2 linked regions of the Oreochromis niloticus genome follow. The protein of the gene in region 1 binds, or shares a complex with, the protein of each later gene. Links are inferred from orthologs where the notes say so. Each region holds a gene or a part of one and is shown on either strand. Other genes may lie near its edges.

What was found.
Region 2: kif11 (region 1) and mysm1 share a complex: the UniProt entries of both Homo sapiens proteins name them as parts of the large chromatin remodeling complex. The link is inferred for Oreochromis niloticus from reciprocal best matches to the Homo sapiens genes KIF11 and MYSM1.

Annotation. Positions count from the first base shown.
Region 1 is NC_031978.2:1,174,512-1,185,466, reverse strand, and holds the start of kif11 (kinesin-like protein KIF11), read left to right. Parts: upstream 1-6,662; 5' UTR 6,663-6,861; intron 6,862-7,005; exon of another isoform or gene 7,006-7,033; 5' UTR 7,034-7,042; coding exon 7,043-7,116; intron 7,117-9,484; coding exon 9,485-9,614; intron 9,615-9,907; coding exon 9,908-10,005; intron 10,006-10,115; coding exon 10,116-10,194; intron 10,195-10,944; coding exon 10,945-10,955. UniProt on the Homo sapiens protein: Motor protein required for establishing a bipolar spindle and thus contributing to chromosome congression during mitosis. Required in non-mitotic cells for transport of secretory proteins from the Golgi complex to the cell surface.
Region 2 is NC_031986.2:38,663,619-38,674,481, forward strand, and holds the start of mysm1 (histone H2A deubiquitinase MYSM1), read right to left. Parts: upstream 5,517-10,863; 5' UTR 5,450-5,516; coding exon 5,394-5,449; intron 5,201-5,393; coding exon 5,128-5,200; intron 5,050-5,127; coding exon 4,979-5,049; intron 4,631-4,978; coding exon 4,556-4,630; intron 4,460-4,555; coding exon 4,375-4,459; intron 4,225-4,374; coding exon 4,126-4,224; intron 3,924-4,125; coding exon 3,404-3,923; intron 3,325-3,403; coding exon 3,090-3,324; intron 3,010-3,089; coding exon 2,879-3,009; intron 2,775-2,878; coding exon 2,671-2,774; intron 2,579-2,670; coding exon 2,501-2,578; intron 2,412-2,500; coding exon 2,329-2,411; intron 2,238-2,328; coding exon 2,183-2,237; intron 1,518-2,182; coding exon 1,467-1,517; intron 1,374-1,466; coding exon 1,299-1,373; intron 1,199-1,298; coding exon 1,010-1,198; intron 904-1,009; coding exon 771-903; intron 618-770; coding exon 512-617; intron 382-511; coding exon 324-381; intron 210-323; and 1 more. Other genes in the region: suco (SUN domain-containing ossification factor), read right to left, coding at 9,971-10,360, 10,790-10,845. UniProt on the Homo sapiens protein: Metalloprotease with deubiquitinase activity that plays important regulator roles in hematopoietic stem cell function, blood cell production and immune response.

The sequences.
Region 1 (10,955 bases):
GGAGGAACATCCTCATCTGAGCTCGCCCACTCAGCCCGGGACCCTCTGTGATGCAGGTCCAGCACTTAGAAACTCTCAGAGTCACAGATGCCCCGATGTCTGGGGATCTGCTGTGGCAACAAAAACCACACCGCATGCACAGACATGTTAATTTGCAGTATCACATTATCTACTATTATTAAGGCAGCACAGGGAATTTGCCAAGATTTATTAAATAACGGATAATTATACTGAGTTATGAGGTTGATCAATCCATGAAAGCTGGTGCTACTAATTCCTACAGGTGTTCCAACATTTCTGGATTACTTACAGGTTCATTATGCAGGATCTTTGTACGCCGTCGAGTACAAAGACACAGTGTGTGGCATCAACTGTCAAACATGGAGGAGGCAGTGTGATGGTCTGGGGCTGTTTGCTGATCCAGGGTCGGTGACTTGTACACAGTGAGAGACACCATGAACCAAACCAGCTACCACAGCATCCTGCAGTACCATGCAGTAGTCAAGTATTTATTATTAACCCAACAATATTGACTCACGTATGCAGTGGGATGAAATATCGTCCTCCTGGATCAAAGGTGCAAACTGTAACAATAAAATGAAAAAATTAAAATATACATTTGTACAACTATACAGAAATAAGATAAACTAAGAATAAGTACAAGAGTATTGCACTTGAATAGAAAAGAATGAGAATAAATAAATACAATATTACACAGAATAAATACAATACTCAGAGTCGAACAGTATAATACAGAATAGTGCCAGTGTTGGAAGAGAGAGGAGAGTGTTATGTGGTCCAAGAAGTGTGTATACTCTCTGGTATGGACTAGAGATGGACCGATCCGATATTACGTATGGGTATCGGTCCGATACTGACGTAAATTACTGGATCGGATATCGGAGAGAAATACAAAATGTAATCGATCCATTAAATATCAAAAAAGCACCTCAGAAAACTTGCGACACGGCGTAACTCGCCTCATAACCGTAGCACGTCGGAGCAGTGTGCTCACGTGATAGAGCGGCTGTGTGTATTTGTAGCCTCGCTACCAAACCAGCATTTCATCTCCGAGGAAGTTATCCCAGAGAGAAGTAAAGCAAGTGTGTAAGTTCATCTCTGAATGTTTGTAAAGCGTTCCCATGTTAAGCTTAACAACCGATATATGGAGCGACTGCCTCTCTCTCTCTCTCTCCCTCTCTTGTTGCTACTTCAATCATGAAACTGATCAATGATCAGCTGATCGGCTTTTCTGTCGCCAGTCCGTCTCTCTTGTTTGTTTTTGGCCCACTTCACGCCAGAAAGAGGAAACAACAGCAGCACGTTTAAGCTTGATAAGCTGTTGTTAGAATGTATTTAATATTACTTTCTACACCAGGATCCTTTTCTACGTAGCTGACGTACCTGTGCAGGGGCGGATCTAGCAAAGTGTAGCCAGGGGGGCCGATAGGGCATGAACAGGGAAAAGGGGGCACAAAGACATACTTTTCTTTCTTATTCTCATTTAAAATGTCTAGCTTTTAATAAATAATTATCTGAACCTTACACCCAAAGTTTTAATCTGATGTAAAATGTATAGAAGTCCATTACTGTATATAGTAACTATTAAGTCTAATATACCCTAGTAAGCTATAGTACTTTTTCCTTTGGGAAGGTACCATCTGTGAATTCTGCAATTCTGTTGAAGAAAGATGTTGAATCTATTTAATTATTCTTGAAAAATCATTGATTTCTGTGTATTTTTTTTCACACTGCATCAAATTAAAGTTGATTACGTCGATTAAGCATCATGAGGTGGAGGGTGATTCCCTATTTTTTTTTTTTTTTTTTTGCTGGGAGTTTGCAACCCTATTAGTTAGGTTGCTTAATATTTCTGCTAAGTACTCTTTAGAATACCAGAATAGGAAGGATGGTGCAGGTTTAAGTTTATTAGATTGATCAGTATTGCTGAACTATGAAATATTTGGATGCTGTGTATTTTTTGCATACAGGTATAACAGAATAGCTTTAGTATTTTGTTTTGTTTTTTAACTTGAGTATGAACTTATTCAAAAACAGCAAGATATTAAAAAAACAGTTTTATTGATTAAAAAATACACTATATTGGATTCATATCGCCAATACCGATATGATACCATAATACCAAATTTATGGTATCGGTATCGGACATAAAAAAGTGGTATCGTGCCATCTCTAGTATGGACCTAGTTGGTGAGGGGTTCATCCAACAGCAAGATAATGACCCAACACACAAGTCCAGGCTGTGCCAGAACTGCCTCAGGAAAAAGTAGAAGATGGTGAGCTTGTAAACATGGAATGTCCAGCACAGTCTCCAGATTTAACCTTCTAGGACCTGGCGTCCACATATGTGGACATCACATTTTGGGTTGTCTGGACCAAAATACTGAATTTTACTCTACAAGAGCTTGATATCCACTTACGAGGACATTAAACTGCCTCTGTTCTATTTAAAACAAATGTCCTGGATCTCATTTTTGTCAAAAACAAAAATCAGGTAAACAAATAAAATTATCAGGTTATTCTTTGTTTTTGCATTCATCAGGTCCCAATCAGCCCAAATAGCAAAGAGAAATTAAAAATGCCATGAAAGAGTTTGGGTCTTAGGTTAAACCCCATCGAGCTGGTTTGGGATGAACTGGACAGAAAAGTAAAAGCAACCGACAGGTGTCAACGTTTACAGGAACTTGTGCAACAGATATGGGAAGAATTTTCTGAAGAATATTTTATTTCTATTGTAGAAATAATTTTATGGGTGTGTTCAGCTGCCTAAGGTGGCTACATGAATGAGTCAGAAGTTTAGAACACATGTTGGTCCATAAATTGATTCTATGATATCTTTTTTAACTCAATTGCTTATTTGTACAATCCTTTAATTTCAGAGTGCAATGAGACATTAAACTGCATCATTTTCAATTTTAAAAAAATGGGAAAATTGGGGTGTTCTGGTAATGTACACATAGTTGCATAATCACACAAATTTGTGCGTCATGACATCGCATGCGCATGCGAACATGTGGGAAGATACTCATGTCCACACCTGTTTTGGTTTTGTGACAGTTTAACTTGTATGTTCACCTGGAGCACAACGTAATCCGATAATACGTATTATGTTATTATTATGTTCTGCAGTGAGCTATGTGTTTTGATACTTTTTATTGTTTCAACACAGGAAGTGGTTAACCACACCCAACAATTTTTCAGATGAGTAACTGCACATTTTGTGATATGTTAGCTGTCCCCTAGAAAACACTCTCTGGTAGTCACGTCACACGTGTCCTCGTGCACGTCATATAATCCACAAAGTGAAGACAAACAAGCAAACATTTATTTCTAGGCTTGAAGTCACAGGAATTAGCCTGCAGCTAGTTAAAGCCTCTACTTCTACTTAACAATCAATATTAAACTAAAATATGACTTTGTAGTCAAATGAAATTCCCCATTATCTTGTGCTTATTCATCTCCATAATAATTTAAATCAAAATTATTACCAAATATATATGAAATATGATTAAAGTTAGAGAAACTTACAGACCTTTGTCTTCTAGATTAGCTAATGTTAGCTAATTAGCTAATGTTAGCTAATGTGCCTTTGATGTTTTTACTCGGCTGGTTTGGGGAAATGTTTCTTTGAATGTCCTCATCTGTGTTTAATATATTAGATATAGAATAATAGTTTCATTTTTAGCTCACTGCTTGATTTTAGCACAGCTGAAATATCCGGAGCTGCTTCTGCTTAGACGATAGAAAAACAGATTTTTAGGACGTACACTTATCGTCTGCTGACTTTATGGAGACGGTAATTTTGGTTAGAGAAAATGTTGACAAATCTTGATATGAAAAACTTTAAAAATTTCCACAAAAAAACTGCACAGTGTTTAATGAGTTAAAAAATTATGGCAACATTGCAAAAGATTTTTGAGTATCAAAAAACTTGTATGTTTTTAATTTCTTAGAACCAAGTTTGTTCAGATGTATTAATTTAAATGTCTTCACCTTAAATACATGAGCAGAAATCTTAAAATTAAGAAATGTACGACTGAACTTCTTACCTAAGGTGATGCAACTCATTAGCGTTTGCAGCTTTTACAGTGCACACAGAGTACCATTGGCACATTCTCAGGTCCCTGACTTGTTTGCTGTCATGTGCAGTGTTACTGCTTTTAAAATCCTGGAGTACAGGAAATGTGTAAGACTGTAAATCTTCTGGTCATTTTGGTTTTCGGTGTTTTGCTGTGGAGTTTCGATTATGGTTCTGATTTCACTGTTTGAGGTTTTTGGTGATATTGTGGAATTTCAGGCTCTGGTGGACTTTCCTGTCCAGATGATGATCAGTGTCTCGAGTTTGTGCCTCCCCCCCCCGTGTCGTATCTGTGTTACTGTCTTAGTTTTCATGCTTGTGTTTGGTCTCTTTTGGTTGTTTCCTGTTTTACTTTGAAGGTCAGTTTTCTTTTGTGTCCTGGGTGAGTTTGGCTTCGTTTCTCTGACTTGACCTGATGGTTCTCGCCTGCTGTTCGCTGCTTCCTCCTCTGTGCTGTTGTTGTAGATCTAGTGCTGTGTTCCTTGGCGCTTGACTCACTCGTCCACCTAAAAAAGTTTTTTGTCACCTTGTGCTGGTACCTGTGCCCTGTGCAGCTCTTCAGCACCACCAGACCTGCACCGTTTAACTTCTCCTGTGCAGGAAAAAAGGTTTCTGGTTATGGATTACAGCCAACATGTTTCTAACATGTACAGCTAAGAGTGTCTGATCAGACAAGCAGAAAAATCATTGGAGACAGTCTCCACGACAATGAACTCCAATCTGAGTTGGACTGTTCTCTTCAACAAAAGCAGGGACAAAGCTCTTTAGGTCAGATGATTTTTACTTTCTTTAAAGAGTGTTTGAGTCTTAGAGATGTTTAACTTGTGCTGAGAACAGAGAAGCAGAGATTTAAAGGAGCTGAAATGACCAAACTCGCCGTGCTTTGCATGAGGATGTAGGCAGACTTATAGTCACGATAGTCGTCCATGCCTAGATGGCTCAATAAAGCTTCTCTAAAGTAGCAGGATTGTGACTATTAGTCCAAATAAACGAGTCTCTGGTTACACTCTGCAGCTGCTGAAGTGAAAAATGAAGCGAGAGGTGCTGCAGAGTCCGACCGGAGCAGCAACGAGGACCTCCAACAGCGCTGTGAGTTGGATGTACTGTAAGATATCAGACAAAGGGAAGCTGTGTGTGTCTGTGTGTGCAATGAAGAGGTTTCCAGAGCAAAAAGGGCAACCCCCTCGCTGTCCTCAGGAGGCCGAGTGGGCGGATGGTCCTCAGCAGATGGATTGCTGCTCGCCTGCCGTCACTTCATGAACCTGGAACGGAGGCGGAGAGTGAAGTCTATCAGTGACATCATGTTTTTGGATTATTTCTTCTCTTTCTTTCTCTTTTCTACGCATTCTAGTCTGATTTAAAACCATTTGTGTGTGTTACCATATGTTATGAAGCACTTATTATGATTTTTAAGTACATTTGAGCATGAGATAATCAAAAGGTTCCTTAGAAGGAAACGTTAAAGATGAAGAGAAATGACAAAAAGCACTCAGAGAGTCATAAAATCACCTGAAACAGTCAAAAAAATAATGCACAGTCCCCACAAAAGACACAAACACATGAATAATGATAATAATGATAATAAGTTAAAGGATCATTTTGTTTCACAAAGTGATTTATGGTGTCTTTGGACTTTTATTTAGCTTGAAATTTTTAATGCTACTTAAATAATGAAACACATCAAAATATTCAATGCAACGATCGAGTCATTCACGTGGTCGGTTTTCCTCCCACAGACCAAAGACGTGATGTTAGGTTAAATAACCATAGAGACCAACACCTTTGCACAGTGAACACACGATGTCCACAAAGAAGCAAAACTGAGGGAACAAAATGAATATAAACACACAAAAGATGCAAAATGAGCAAAAAGAGCCACAGAACACAAAGAGATGAGAATGACATAGGTGAACAAAAAGATTAAAATCAAACACATAAAAACAACATAAAAGTGACACAGAGTCATAAAAAGATCTTGTTAAGTCAACAAAAAGTGCCAGAAATCCAAGCGACATGAAAGGGGAGAAAGTGCAAAGGTCATGATAAGTCTCTGATTAAGGAAAGGAACACAACAATCATTAAGAGATACTTAATTCCAACGAAAAACGTGAAAAATAAACAGAAGAAAATAGTCAAAGAGCCTAAAAGAGACAAACAACCTCAAAGACGTTCAAAAATGACCGCATGAAGAAACACTCAGTGCATCATGGGAAGCCGCCAGCATCATTCGGGTCACTTCCAGGCTTAACCATATGAAACTCAGCCTTTTTTAATTAATTGAAAGAAACACGAATCAAGTATCAAAAATCTTATGTAAAAGTCTAATTATTTATTTGGGAACATAAAAATACGTTATTATCTCTAATAGTTGTTTATAATTATAAATAAAAATCATGTTTGTTTTCGTTTAATTAAATATTTCTCAGAACAATGTCGCCACCTGCTGGACGTACATCGATATTTATATCACATCTGCTCCCGTGATGCTCTGCGATGGCAGTGTCACATGATCGTGGTACCCAATGACGGTCACGTAGTGACCGTTACTCTCCTGCTATTGGCCGATGAAAATTTAAAAGTACAGTTTGAAAAGTGTCCTGTCGGAGGTTTTAGTGCGCCAGAGAAGCTGTAGGAAAACGGCCTGTGCTGTCAGAGCAGCCCGTAAACGCTGAATTACACGATTTATTAAGATATCGAAGACTTTGGATTTATAATCGGATAACCCGCAGCGGGGGAGGAAGTGACGCGCAAACCGATATTTGGTAAGTTCTCGTTAGCTAACATTATGATGCTATTTGTCGCTTTTCTTTCGGCTCGTCACATTTAAAGCGGACAAACCGCCTCCCTGCTGTTTATTTCTGTATTGATGACTGTGCTGCTTCATTTATGTGCCGTTTAATCTGAAGTGCGTGATATAACGGTGTCCGGGAGCAGCTCGGAGCCATGTCTTCAAACGTCCAGAGCGGAGGGAAACGGGAGGAGAAGGGCAGGAACATCCAGGTGGTGGTCAGATGCAGGTAAGGAGTTAAACAGAGTTTCAGCTGTGTCTGTGTTTGCTGCTGTCAGTCACAAACATACTCCAGATATCGTAAATATCCTCAAAACATCGCAAAAAGTGCAGGAACAGCACCAAATCCACCTTAAAGCTGTATGTTCACTGGTTCAACTGCCCTCAGTGGGTGTATTTACCTGGAAGAGACCTTAAAAAGGCTAAAATTTTACTTGCAGATGTCTCAAAAAAGAGGTCACTGACATTTTACAGTCTCAGAAACTAAATGAGAACACTACCCTGAGCTTACTTGTGGAAAAATCAGCAGTTCTTGCAGTCTTAAAGTTACTATTTGACCCTCTGAGGGAACCCTAACCCATGTGGCGCCTAATTTGTCAATAAAATCTGAGTCTTTCTGTTTTACTTTCTTCTATGTTTATGGGTGTGTTAAAATGTTAAAGTGTTAAAATGTTAGTCAATCCAGAAATGTGCACACAAATGATGCAAAAATACCTGCACAACCACAGAGAAATGCAAAATGATTATAAAAATACAGGAAAAGCATGGAAATGGGACATCCAATCATAACCATCATACTAGCCTCACATGTTTGAGTCTCTCAGTATCCCAGTGCTCATGTATTTGATCTTTAAGTTATTCATCATTTTCCTAGAAGAGACCTTAAAGCGTGTGTTTTACCTCTTGGTAATTTATCATTTTTAGCATTCGGGATGAATTTCCACGACTGAGTGAAAGCCTGTTCATTCCAGTTTAATTGTACTTCAACCTGTATTAACAGGTTTAAAACCCAAGGTGAAAAAAATGAGTATAAAACCATCCTTCTCTTTTCTCACTTACACATCGGTTTGGCAGAATAAAGGTGTAATAAGTTTTTAAAAACCCAGCAGGTGGAGCAAAGACACGCCCCCGCTTGTCTAGATGCAAATATTTCAAGCACATGTCAAACACTGAGCACTAACATCGGACTAAATAGGTTTTGGGTGTTTTGGATGCTGTTCGCTATTTTCTAGCTCTCTAAGTTTTATTGGCTGTTAATTGATCCCTGAAAGTTTAGATTTGTGTGACTGTCTGTGTCGTTGGACACAAACATGGGTTTGTAGTCCCGATCCGATTACTGGAGTCGTCTTCCACGTGTTTCCATTTAACAATTATTAGTGTGAAAAGAAAATTGGTAATCCATCAGCCCCTCTGTTGGCACTAAACACTCAGCTTCACAACATTTTTTTTTTTTTTTTTTTTTGGTACCGTTAGCTCGTTAGTTCGCCAGTGTGTGAATGTGTGTGTGACTGGGTGAATGACTGAATGTAGTGTAAAGCGCTTTGGGGTCCTATGGACTAGAAAAGCGCTATACAAATGCAGGCCATTTACCATTTACCATCTCTCTATGATGTCACAGAGTACAGAAGCCCCGCCCACCAAGTTGAGGGGCAGCCAGTCAGAAGAAAGTTGGCTTGAAATGGTTCGGGTAGATAATAAACTGATGGCTCAGATAGAGGAGCTTTAAAGAAGCTTCGATGTTTTTAGTTTCTGAAACTGATTATCTCTGGATTTTTGGTTTGCGGTGTACCAGCTCTGAAACCGACACTGAGTGAGATAAGCGTCCGTAACGTCATAATCGCGGTTTGATCTTCCCGTACCCGTGCAGGCGAGTCTGTGGCGGAGGCTCAGAACACGGCACAGGAACTCTGCACTAAAACTTTAGGTCAGAAATATTGAATTTACCGTCTTTCATCCACTCAGTGCATCAGTGTCTGCTGGGTTGGAAAAACTATTGATTTTGAGTCTAAGATGATATTTAGAAACGTCTTAAAGATGTTTTGAGGCCTGCAGACGCTGATCTAATTTAAATCCCATATTTGTGCTAAATCGGTTAATTCATCTGTTCCTTCTGCTGTCCATCGTCTGGTTCGTTGTTCATGATAAGCTCACAATGTTATATGGATTTCCTTTATGTAGTCTGGTTTTCTGAGGCCTCAGAGGATGAGCATCATTGATCTGTGTATACTTAAGTCTGTGTTCTTTAGTTATCTGAACCTAAACGAGCATTAATGTGTTTTTAGAAGTCTTCATATGTAGCTCAGAGTATGTGCACAAACCCTGTGTGTATTTTAATTATAATAAGCAGTAAATCTTTATTATGGGACCTTTTTCAAAAAAATAAATGAACGTTGCTCTGACAGAAAGAAGCAGAAACTCAAACCGTGATTTTAATCTGAGCCAAAGTCAAAGCTTTGGTGTCGGCGCGCTGTGATCTTTAAAAACAGGACCGTGTGCGCCCGAGCTGATGTTAAAGCTTCATTATTATGTCTGCAGAGCTGCAGATGTCTCAGGCGTCGAGTCTTTGTCACCGAGGTTTTCCTCTGCTGCGTTTTCAGGCCTTTCAACACGATGGAGCGCAAGTCGTCCTACGGCGTCATCGACTGCGATCAAAACCGGAAAGAGGTGATGGTGAGGACGGGAGGCATGAACGACAAGGCGTCACGGAAGACCTACACGTTCGACATGGTGAGAGGAGAAATGGACACGGCGCATCCTGTGCTCGCACATCTGGCTTATACTTACATAGCTGACTTGTTGTGTCAGACTAAAAAACTGAAACCCCACAATTAGAGTCCAGGAAACTTTAGTCCGTTCTTAAGGTGAAGTAACAAAACTTGCGTTCAAATCAGAAGCGGCTCTTAGTGTCTCTCGATGAGGATTGGCTCATTGCTGCAGCTGTGTGTCCTGCTGTTGGTCCAGCGATGAGCTCACGGTCATTTCTATTTATTTGTTCTGACCGAAGCGTTTCTCTCCCTCAGGTGTTCGGTCCGTCTGCGAAGCAGATCGAAGTGTACCGGAGCGTCGTCTGTCCCATCCTGGACGAGGTCATCATGGGATACAACTGCACCGTGTTTGCGTGAGTGCTGCGCAGATATGCGAGCGTCGGCGTGAGCCGTCCCGGATGAACCGGTTTGTAATCTCTTTTGTTTCCATCTTTTTTTTTTTTTTTTTCTTTATTGATGACAGCTACGGTCAGACGGGAACAGGAAAGACGTTCACCATGGAGGGAGAGAGGAGCCCGGACGAGCAGTTCACCTGGGAGGAGGTGAGCTCGGCTTTGAAGTGGGCTCACTGGTTTACTGTATGACCCAAACCCTGCATGTGGATCTAATTCAGCCGAACCACAGAGTGTGAATGAACTGATCCTGCAGCAGCGTGTACGAAGTATAGGAAGGGGAAACATCTTGACTATCTAACATTAATAAACATTTTCAGGTTTTAAAATTCAGAGTTTTGTGATCAGTCTGACTGCATCCATCCTGAATGTGCATGAATTGGCTTTAAATAATTCCCCGTGTCCGTTTTTATGCACGTGGATGTTGGACGTCTTGTTTTCAGATCATCAGTAGCTGCTCAGACCTGCTGCTCATTTTAGCCTCAGGCTGCACTAGAGCAGCTTTGCTTGATTCATAGTTAGTAATAATCCTCCTTTGTCTTGTGCTGGGTCTCCGTACAGGCCTTCAGCTCATCCTTTACAAGCCCTCGTTCATCTTATTGGCCAGTTTCTGGAAGCCTGCAGAGGGGTAGTATGCAGTACCAGTCAGCTGTACTTTTGAGGGGGGATGTTATTGGATACTGCGTACATGCAGCCAGCTTTTTATCGTCAGTTCAGATGTGTTAATGTGTCAAATAACCAAAATAAAACATGTTTTATTTACAAGTTTCACAATTGGCAACGAACGAGGGTGACAAACGTCACCACAGCTCTGTTTGTGCACGTGCGCTTAAATAAATGTTAATTATTGTGGAATAATGGTCAGCGCTGAAATAAATTCCCGTGTTTTTGCGTCTCTAGGACCCGCTGGC
Region 2 (10,863 bases), on another chromosome or scaffold:
TCTTCCTCTGGGCTGATTGGCTGATCAAAAGTTAGTTCGCCCGAGTCCACCAGTTTGGATGAGATATTTAAAGGTTCTCCTTCTTCACAATCAGGCAACTGCTGCTTGGAAATAAAGTCAGACTTGAAAAGGGCCTGGATCTGGGTGAGAAAGGAGTCTCCCACCTCATCTGGGAGGGGTTCCAAGTACCTTGCCAGTGATGCCAGCATCTACATGGGGAAGGTTGTGTAGTTAGGCAGACATTAAAACAGTAAAAGCAGCTCAAAGTCACTCCATATAGTCACTGAAATTTGCAAACTGGGAGGACTGATGGTCGAACTGACCTTCTCCAAACATGTGAGATGGGAGTCTCTCCGGAATAGTCTGTCCATCTGCACACTCCTGACCAGCCACAGCAAAAATAAAAAATAAAATGCTTAGACACACCACCAAAAAAAATTTCAATAAAATTTAGGATCAGCTTTGGGGCATCAGTTCAAGATTAGACAATACAGTCTTGTGTCTCACTCACCCTGGTGCTTGAGAATATTTGTGGATGATCCACTGAGCCCTCCTCATCGTCTGATCCCAGTTGGGGATGTCTTGTGATGACAGGAAGTCGAATCTGTACGGCAGCTCTGGGGAGGAACAGAGGCTGAGAGACTGAGCCAGAGGATAAAGTGTGTTACTGCGTACACAAAATCACTGACCTACATTGTCAGCTTGATTTCAAAGCCTCTTGATCTTAACTGTTTTGAAGTTTGAGTCATGTATATGTGTGTTAGACTTACTCTGGGGGCCTGAAGGCTCCTGGTTCTCTTTTACCAATAAGCAGGTCGTCTGGGAGTGGGGGGAGGCGTTAGCTGGATCATATGGGCTCACTATCATCCCAATAAACGGGGCTCCACCACGTGAAAAATAACTCTGAAAGATTAAAAATAAATAAATAATAATAATACCAGAAGTGAAAATAAAACCAGAAGTTCACAAGTAAGTCAGGTGCAAACTTATTTCATTCAGTCAATTTTACCTGGAATTGGTGCTGCGTGTTTATGTCTCGCAGTGAAGGGTTAGGGTGGAAGGAGGGATGCGAGTGGTACCAGCCCACTACACTGAATCCCAGGGATGACAGCACATCACAGGCCTGTGTCTGAGACACTGGATCCATCTCACACTGCAGACCTGTGCTCACACTGTTACATGGCTCTGCTGCACAGATCTAAACACAGATTTATTAGTCACAAAATATATTTTTCTGAATATAATGTTATTAAAAGTTTTATCCTGTTTGTCACATTGGTTCAGACTTCTTGACCTACCTTCAATACTTTTGCTTCTTCATTAAAAGTTCCACCTAGCAGACCAATGACTTCCCCCCTTGACACGTGTGCATGCTGATTACAGAAAAGTTATCTGTCAATATAGGTAAAACCTGTTGTACATATATGAAAAAAACTAATCAGCTTGTGATTGTGTGTATAACATACCATATCCATGATGAGAAGAGTCTCAGCACAGACTATAACCTGGAATGGTTCCTAGGGTGATCAGTAAAGAACAGCTTAGAATAATTGATGACTACTTTGGAGAAAGGATCCTCTTAGTTTATGGAACAAAAAAAATGAAGAAAATATAATATAAGGTATATCTAATAATCCAGTCACCTACTATTTTCTTAACTCCTTATCCAACATAGGCTGGGCTGAAGTATATTCCAGTTGACATAGGGCAAGAGGCAATGAGCACCCTGGAGAGTCTGCCAGTCCATCACAGGGCCAACAACAGACACACTGACATCACACTGAATTTAGCTTTGCCCACCTAACCTGGGATGTGTGCTTTCAATTGGAGCAAAGGCACCATTAGAAGTCCTGTGGTGGTATTCATGTGGATGTAATTTTGACATGTACCACCCATTTACTGCAGATTAAGCATTCCCCATCCCCATGAAAATGGCACTTCCTCATTAGTCTACCCCAGTTGGACTAATTACATTGAAAAATCTCCTGAAGAATTTCTCAAGAAACAAGACAAATAGTCTAGTATCCATTCTGTATCTGCAAGATGCAACAGAACAAGCCTGATCAATGGAGGCCACGACAACTACAGACACATCCAGGATTTTTCAGGGGTTTTTTTTTTTTAAAAGTGGTGTGGTTAGTCAGTGTATCGGTGAAAAATCTTGATAAGAATGATCACTGACCTTTATATCCTCTTCAAAAGATCTGCAGGGAATCAGCTGGAAGGGGTCAAAAGAGCTGGTGGATAGAGTGGCATTATAAACATCCACATCATAAACCTCCTTGTGTTTATAATTTGGTACATTTTGCATCAGTCCACTGTGCTCACCCTCGGTATCTGGACATTTTGTAAGGTTTAGGCTGCTTCTTCATCTCCTCTCTCCGTAGAGCTAATTCTTCTGCACTTAGATGCTGATAAAGAAAAAACACAGAATCGGTAAACATCATTAGTAACAATCTATGTCGTAATTTGATTAAAAGTTGTTGTGCAGTGTCCATACCTCATATGTCTGTCCCTCCAAGTCTTTAGCATCACACCAGTTCCCCCAAATGTCCCGCACACGCCGCTTCCTGGTTCGCTACAACCAGTCAGAAGTTACAAGTCAAGTTCTGGCATGCTTAAAATTTAAATGCTTCCAGTGTCAGCGTCTATTGCTTTATGGGTACCTACCATGCTCTGCAGCCTCTGGGCGAGCTGATAGGCCTCCAGTACATCTTTGCCTTCCTTATGCTTGGAGCGGTCCATCACCTTTGGACGATTGTACACAGCTTGCTCTACAAAAAGGAAGTCAGAGCTTTAACATCAAAAAGAAGATAAAAATTCACAGATCAGAAGACCAAAACCAGATGCTGTAAAAGATTCAGAGACACAGACTTACCGCAGTTGAAGTTGATTGCTCCAATGAGTTCCAGATAGGTGTGTATTCTCCCAATGCAGTTGACATCTCCACAGTTCTTTAGACCAGGGCGGACCGATGTCTTGTTTAGGTACTTAGGCTTGCTCTTCAACCTAGTGGACAAAAACAGTAATAACCACTTTCTGTGCAAAGTTGTGTAAACAAAGATATCGAACATGTATGCTTAGTTTACCATTGATCCAGGATATAGTTTCTAATCTTCAGATATCTTTCAGGGGTTTTTGATGGTCGCCCCTCAAAGAACTCTGGGATAGCCTGCTTCTCATCCTCGGTGATGGTCTCTGTGTCCATCTCTATTTCTTGTTCAGGGGCCTTCAGCTCCTCCTCTTCATCATCTTCATTCTCCTCCTCCTCCTGGTCTTTGTATGGTCTATCATTTAGATTCTTCTCAAACTTGTCAGCAGAATCTAGGAGATCAAAATGTGTGTTATTAATTTGTCCTATGACTGTGAGGTAAATACACAAAACACAGTAAGTGTGAAGCACCCATTCCATCACTGTAGGCTTCTTCCAGTTGAGCAATCCCTGCTGAAAACATCTCCTTTGAGTCTGTATGAGGTGGTGTCTGACAGCTTTGTGGAAATACCGATGCCGTCTTGTTGACCTTCTCATCTTGCTCTGTTACTCCAGGATCTTCTGAGCAACCAGGGAAAGATGAGGGTTGAAGACTTTGTGGAGAAAGAGAGCTGTGGCTGGGTTTCTCCTTCGTCTCCTGGATGCTCTCTACCCCACTCAAACTTACATGTTCTTCTGTGGGGCTTTGACTCCCAGAGTCTGTTTTCTCCTCAGGCCCACAGTCACTGCTGAGGACTGCTTGCAGTTTATTGCCTTCTTCATCATCACTCATGTCGTCAGTGATGTCTACATCCTCATCCTCATCGTCAGAAAGCTTCTCTATGCGGACAGCGTTGGCAAGAGTAGACACTTGACTGGAGGTGGGCTGAGGAGGTTGTAGGTGTATTATGGGAGCTACAGAGGGAGCCGCAGGACCAGGTTCTGATTTTGCCTGAAAAATGTGTATACGAAAGTCTCTTTATTCTTTACTTTTATTTTCCAACATACCATTGCTAAGGACTCATTCTGGTTGCATATGAGCATATGTAGTTGGACTAAATTGCAGGTTTATATCTGCGGATGACTACAATTAAGCTTACATAACAGAAATCTGTCTTGTGCTGTTAGTATAATCCAGGTGGACTTATGTTTACCTTATGTTTAAAATACTGCCTGGCGTAACTCTTGACTTGAAGAACGGTACGGCTTTCCATAAGCTTAGCAATCTTAGTCCACCTTCGACCAAACCGAGCCTGTAGAACAACACACCTCAGCAACTTAACAATTTGAACAATACACACAATCTGACTCACTTAAAACAATTATTGAATCCATTAAAGGCCGACCTTCCCAAACAGAAATGATATTTCAGACACAAAAGTTAACTTGCAGAGGAAGCATACCAGGCCTTCCTCAAACAGTTCTTTCTCCTGTTGGGACCATCGAGAGGCTGAACCAGAAGACGAAGCCAGGTTCTTGGCCGGAGACCTAAATGTCCACACATAGAGGGGTTCATGAATACCAAGCAAATGAGGAATCAGTGTAGTGCGATCATGGTGAAGGCTGATGGAAGAAATCACTCACTTTTTCACTTTGGGGTTTTTGTGAGCATCACTGTGCCAAATGTGGTCAGGAATCTCCTTACCTGTCAGGTAATATCTTCAATTATAGTTAAGGACAACTGATTTCATAACCAGCAACAAAACTAGTATTTAAACTATCTAAATCTATGTAACTACTGGTTGAAACTATGTTGAGATGTTTTCGGTTACTCGTGCACTAACAGGACAAGTGAACATAACATATAACACATTACCCCACTATAATTCCATTTACTAGGTCAAGCGTTACTTTTTTTTTTTCTTTTAATTTGTCATCTGTCTGTATATTTAAATTACCCACAGCATGGGCTAATATTAGCTATTAGCTCCCAGCTGCGTCCTGTGATTCCTGTAGTTAACCTCAATGCATCACTGTGTGGTGCGTTTAAAGGCAGAAAAAGGATACTGTTCCTCTAGCAGCATCCTCTCTATCACCTCTCTGTTCTCCGGGCTGATGGAGCTGTCCAGCTCCCAGGGCTGTACAAACGAGAGACGGAGAGTCAACACGAGCACCCGACGCAGGTAGAAAAACAACTGAGCTTGAAGAAGTCATACCAATATCCAGGCGCTGCTCTTCCCCGTAGGCTGCATGAACTGCTCCTGCACCAAACCTCCTCCGTCCATCTCCCTAAAACAGCGAGGAAAGAAGCTGTGATCAGCAGAGCAGACGTACACCATCCAGCCGCCTACAGAGCTAATCCCAGCTGCTGTTATCCTGCCTGCGCCAACATCCGGGTCACCGCTAACTCGCGTAGACCACAGCACAGAAGCCCACCAAACAGCACAGCCATCAATTAATCCAAATAAGCAGGCGTTATTACCCAATATTGTTATCAAAGTCATCTCCTTCAATGTCAACATCCACCTCGTCCTCCATGTTACTCGATAAACGTAAACAGCTGAGAGAAAACAGAGAAGGCGCGCTGAAGGAGAACAGAGGGCAGTGTGACTCACAGCGACACCCTGTGGCTGGATGTCGTTTAATACGTTTAATGTTGCTTTACTGCCACCTTCTGGTTTAAATTCACCTTAAAGTGGGCTTATTATGCTTTTTTATTATTATTTATATTGGACGCTTATAATAAAACCTTGTTAGCCTAAGGTTCAGGCTTCAGAGTGCTCTAAATGCGCTTATTTCTTCTCTTGGATCTATATGATGTCATATGTCATGTCATGAGACCTTTTACAGGATATCATGAGCACAACAGCCCCAACTACCCACTCTTAAACCTTCTGTTTAATAGCGGCAGCAAGTCAGCCTAAAGGGAAGCTGTCCCTGCAGTAAGAGGGGGTAAAAATGGCTCATTTTAGACCGCGAATCATTGTGATGCTCGCCGCAAGATAAATAAGTAAATAAATAATAATTAGCATAAGATGTGCACTTTAATGTTCAGTTTTATTAGACTTCTAATTCATCAAATTAAAACATATACTGCTATTACATATGTAATATTATATATTTTATTGATAGATTTCTTCCCCCAACGTAATATAGCTGGATAGTGATTTCCTAGAAACTCATAGGAATGAGTAGGCATAAAAGCCTGGGGAGGGTTTGAAAGTCAGTGAAAAAAGAAAACAGCTTTAAATATGAGGATTCCTTTTAAAACTTACATTCATTGTCTACTAGAGGTTTAGAATCCTTTCAGATGCAGCATATCCACATTTGGTGATATCTACAGCATTTTGATATGACCGAATCTGTTTCCCTTCCCTTGAGATACTGTGCTAGACCTTTACCACAACCACCTTATTCCTTCTTCATGGATCTTCACTGACTTGGACTATGCCATTTGCCTTGAGACGGTTTTGAGTTATTATCCATTAGCACTATAAAGCTGTCTGATCGGTTTTTGCATAATTTTGCTGAATCTGAGGAGAGAGTATAGCCCCGTGCTACTTTTGTCAGCAGTCACATCAATAAACTAATGATCCACTTAATGTGGCAGCTATACACACCCATGCCACAGCATTGCCCCCACCATGTTTGACAGATGATGCAGTATCCTTTGTCATGTGGTGTTCCTTACCTTCGCCACATTTTGCTCTGTAACCAGTGGTTTACAGCGTTTTATAAACCCTCTGTATTTGCATTTTTGAAAGTTTCTCTTAATTGTAGATTGAGGATAAGCCTCTCTCTTTGAGGGTGTTCCTGATTTGGTTAGATATTGTGAAGGGTTTTTCTTGGTGTTGCTGAGCTGGACAGCGTATTCATTCTTTTTAAGAATGCGCCAGATTGTTGATGTGGTCGCTCCTGATACTCATTTTATCATAAAAGAACAAAGCAACAGGTGTCATATGGCCATTAATTGCTTTTTAAGTCAACTGTCAAATTACTTTTAAAACTGAGGATGGGGTTCTATGAATGAAGCATGTGTATATACCCAAATCTGTATACTGCTATCACTACTTCTCTTTATTAAAATGTTTCCTGCCTAGGGACAACAGACGTAAAATAGCAGTTATGCTAAAATCTGTTTAAATCTCATAGTTCTTTACCAACATCCATCAAATGAGAAAATGAAACGACACCAATGAAAGACAAAGAAACAAAAACATTTTATTTAGAAAGAATTCACAGTTTCTAATGGCACTACAGTTTTTTGTAGTAACTCACTCCTGCTCAAAAATACTGTGCAGCTCTTCAGAGTACTCACAGAGACAAAGAGAGGGCGAGAGAGAGAGAGAGAAGGTAGCACTTGACATAAAGGGTAGAAAAACAAAAAGGCATAAGGAGTCATACAAAGTGCACACTGAGCGTTTAGAATTTCTCTCAAAGTGCTTTCTTGTTGTTTGCCGTGTTATGTGTTTAAATCGATTTAAAGTAGTCTTTTTCATAACACAGACACACACACACACGAGACAAGAAAAAAATAATCTCACATGCGTACAGGTTTACACACAAACATATTACACATTCAAACAGGGATTTAAAAAAAAAACAAAACAAAACAAAAAAAACCCTCTGGATTTGCTCCGCTCCTGGAACATAAGTAATCACATTAATAGTGTTCTGAATTGGATTAATCTTTACTGCGTTCCCTTTTATTCAGCAACAATTAATTTCTTCCTCAAAAACCACTGCTGTCATTCGATGTGGGGCAAACACGTGACATCAAAGAGCAATGACAAGCGAATAAAAGACGTAAAAGGAGTGTACGGCCAGAGTAAGAATGCACAAGAAAAAAAAAGCTAGACAGAAAAGCAGGCAAGCAGAATGAACAAGCATTTGAAGCTAATAGGAACATGGTAGAATGGTTTATCAAAGCAGGCATATTTAAAGTTTTCTTCACAGTCACAGACAGAAGTCGTGCACAAGGGGTCAGAGGTGACATTTCTGGATAAAGATATGTAAGGAAAGAAGAGCAGTAGAAGCTGGTCAGAACAGGTAATGACACTCTTATGGGATGGTAGCATTAGAAGAAAATTCTGTCTGTCAAGATGTCCAACGCCAACCATGCAGAACCTTTATGAAATTGCATAAATAGAGAGGGGGATAAAAAAAAAAAACCCTATTAAATTTATTCTTTAAAAGCAAACAAAAACAAATATGCTCCTGTCAAATCTGCAACTTCCTGCAGTGTTTTTGCTGAATTGTTATATTGAATATACATTAACAAAACAGCCAGGGTAACATAAAATCAGTTAGCCAATCCAGCAGAGATGCTGAAACGCAAAGAAGACAGCACAGTACTACAGTCATCATTATAGCCTCTTTTCTTCCTAAATAAAGCATCTCCAACTTTCCAGCAGCTCTGAACACACACAGAAGCAGCAGCGTGTTCCTAACATACATGTAACCTCTAACTGTTATTCTGTTGGATATAAAATGCGATTGCTGTCCGATATTTCAGGCTGAGCTGAGTACAATTAGAAGTTGTTATAAGGTAAGATAAAACGAAAGAAAGCAAATGTGTTTGAGCCATCCACCATGACTGTATGTGTCAGTACCACTGAGTAATAATTCTATGTAACAAACTTGCATTGAGCCACTGTGACGCTGCAAGACTGGGAGACTGGCAAACCAGCAACTAGGTTAGAAAATTCTCTGTTCATTTAAATAAATAAATAGATAAATAAAGCTGATCTGTCAGACCCATCTGCAAGGTCCACGAGAGGGTGTGCGTGTGTGTAAACATTCAGCTCCGTTATCCAAGGTTACCCTACAGTAAACTGTGCCCTTAACAGGAAACACTTAGCCCCATACTGGCTCTGACAGCAACTCAAACAAGCCGAACCAGCAATGCTAAGAGAAACATGGCTCAGTTACAAATGAAAGAACTGTAAAAGTAATGAAACAATTATATTACAGCTTCTTGCCTCTGAGCTGTTTTATCAGTTACAAAATCTAATGTGACAGCGTTTTTGGGCCCAGCCCAAACTAACTGAGCAGGGTCTACAGGAGCTGGACTGCTGCTACTGTATTTGTTTTATGAAGTTAAATGAGACACTTAAAAAAAGAAAAGAAAAGGGCTAAGACATTCATGTAGACTTTTCTTCATTCAGCTCTCGTGGTTGGTTTGGAACAAACTGACAGAGACAGAAGGCGAGAACGAGACTGTTTTACCCACTGGTCCCAAACAAACACCTGCAGTCATTTCGAGACTAAGGCAGGATGGACAAGGTTAAATGATGGCAAAGAAAGACAGGAGGAAATAAGGATAAGAGAAGTCATTTGTCATGCTCCACAGTCCTCTTTATAATGACATATTTCATCCCAAAGAGCAGCCTAATACTTTTCAAGGAACACAGAGTTGAGACCAGCACCTCTCCTCACTGTGCTCAGAGTGGGGAAATGAATTCACTGGTGCTCCACTTTCATGGGTCAAATGTGCTTATCCAGTAGAAAAATGAAAATAAAATAAAATCTCTCAAACACACATCAATAGTTTTGACTCTTCTTGGTGTTTCACTTCCTATCACAGTGTCTTTTTGTGCACATCAACAACTGTTTAAATTTCATGTTTTTAAGAGTTAGAAGGTCTAGAACAGATATAAAGGCACATAACCGTAAACGGGTCTTTGACAGGAGTGAATAAGAACTGAATGACGTCGAGCTACTGCTGCCATAGCCAATTCAGTTCCACGGTGCGCCTGGGTGCTCATGGGAAATGTGGTTCTTTGGGATGTGGTAAGACCTCTTCTGTCTGTCATGTCTGCTACCGTGTAGTGTGTGCACAGGTGTGAGCAGATAATCGTGTAAAGGTGACGCGTGAGGATTCAGACATGTCCGGTGACGGCTGTCACCCCGATGGTCCCGACACTCATCTCCTTGTTTCCCTTCATAAGCTGCTGCAGGCTGGGCAGAGAACCAACGCTCCCCGCTGGCATGTGCGGGAACTGCAGCTCGGTCTGTCGAGACTTCCGCCGCTTCGTTGAGCGCTTCTCCTGACGGGACTTAGCAACCGGCTGGCTGAGGGGAAAGAAAGCCCGTGGCCGTTGCACACGCCATCAGCGGGGAAGACGGGAGAGGGAGGGGGGAGCCGGCTAGCGTACGACTCCTCAGAATGGGTGGACGAGCTGCAGCTGCTAGTCTCTGAGGGGAACTCCTTGGAGGCACGACGGGGCAATAATGGGCCCTCCTGGGGTGTTGAAGGGGAGGAGGCAAGGGAGGAGGAGGGGGAGGAGGAGGAGGAGGAAGAGGAAGGGGGCGTGTTGAGGATGGTGGCGCAGGGAGACACGGGTGAAAGCCGTTACACTTGGGATCCCTGTTAGTGAGGAGAGCAGAAGGATCGAATGCCTTCAGAGTCTCAACTTTGTCCAAAGACTTTGTCTTGCAGCGTTTTTTCTGCAAGGTAAACATAAGAGATGGAGAAATTATTTAAGAAAGTTCAGCAGCAAACTAAACATCTAATAATGTTAAGTCACAAACAATAGCCGGAGGAAGGTGGGAAAGTTCAAAAGGGAATGATGGAATTTAAAAATGAGGGGGAAAAACAAAAACACATTACTCAATCTGCTTCTCTAAAAATATTAAAAACTTGAGGCGAATAAAGCTGGCAGTGTACAAACAAATACACACACACACTGCAAGCCAAAAAGTTGCTAAGGGGCATTTCGCTAATTCTTTTCACTGCTCAGCTGATACCTCATCTCATTTACTCCACAAAATAAGGAATTCCCTTTTCTAAAACAGACGTATTAGAAAGACTCATTGAGACTACAAAAACACACAGTACTTGTATACGATGGCCATCACAGCCAACAGACACTGTACCTTTTTCTCTGGAGAAAACCTTAGAGGTTCTACAATGTACAAGTCATCTGGACCTACTGGGGAGGGGAGAAAGG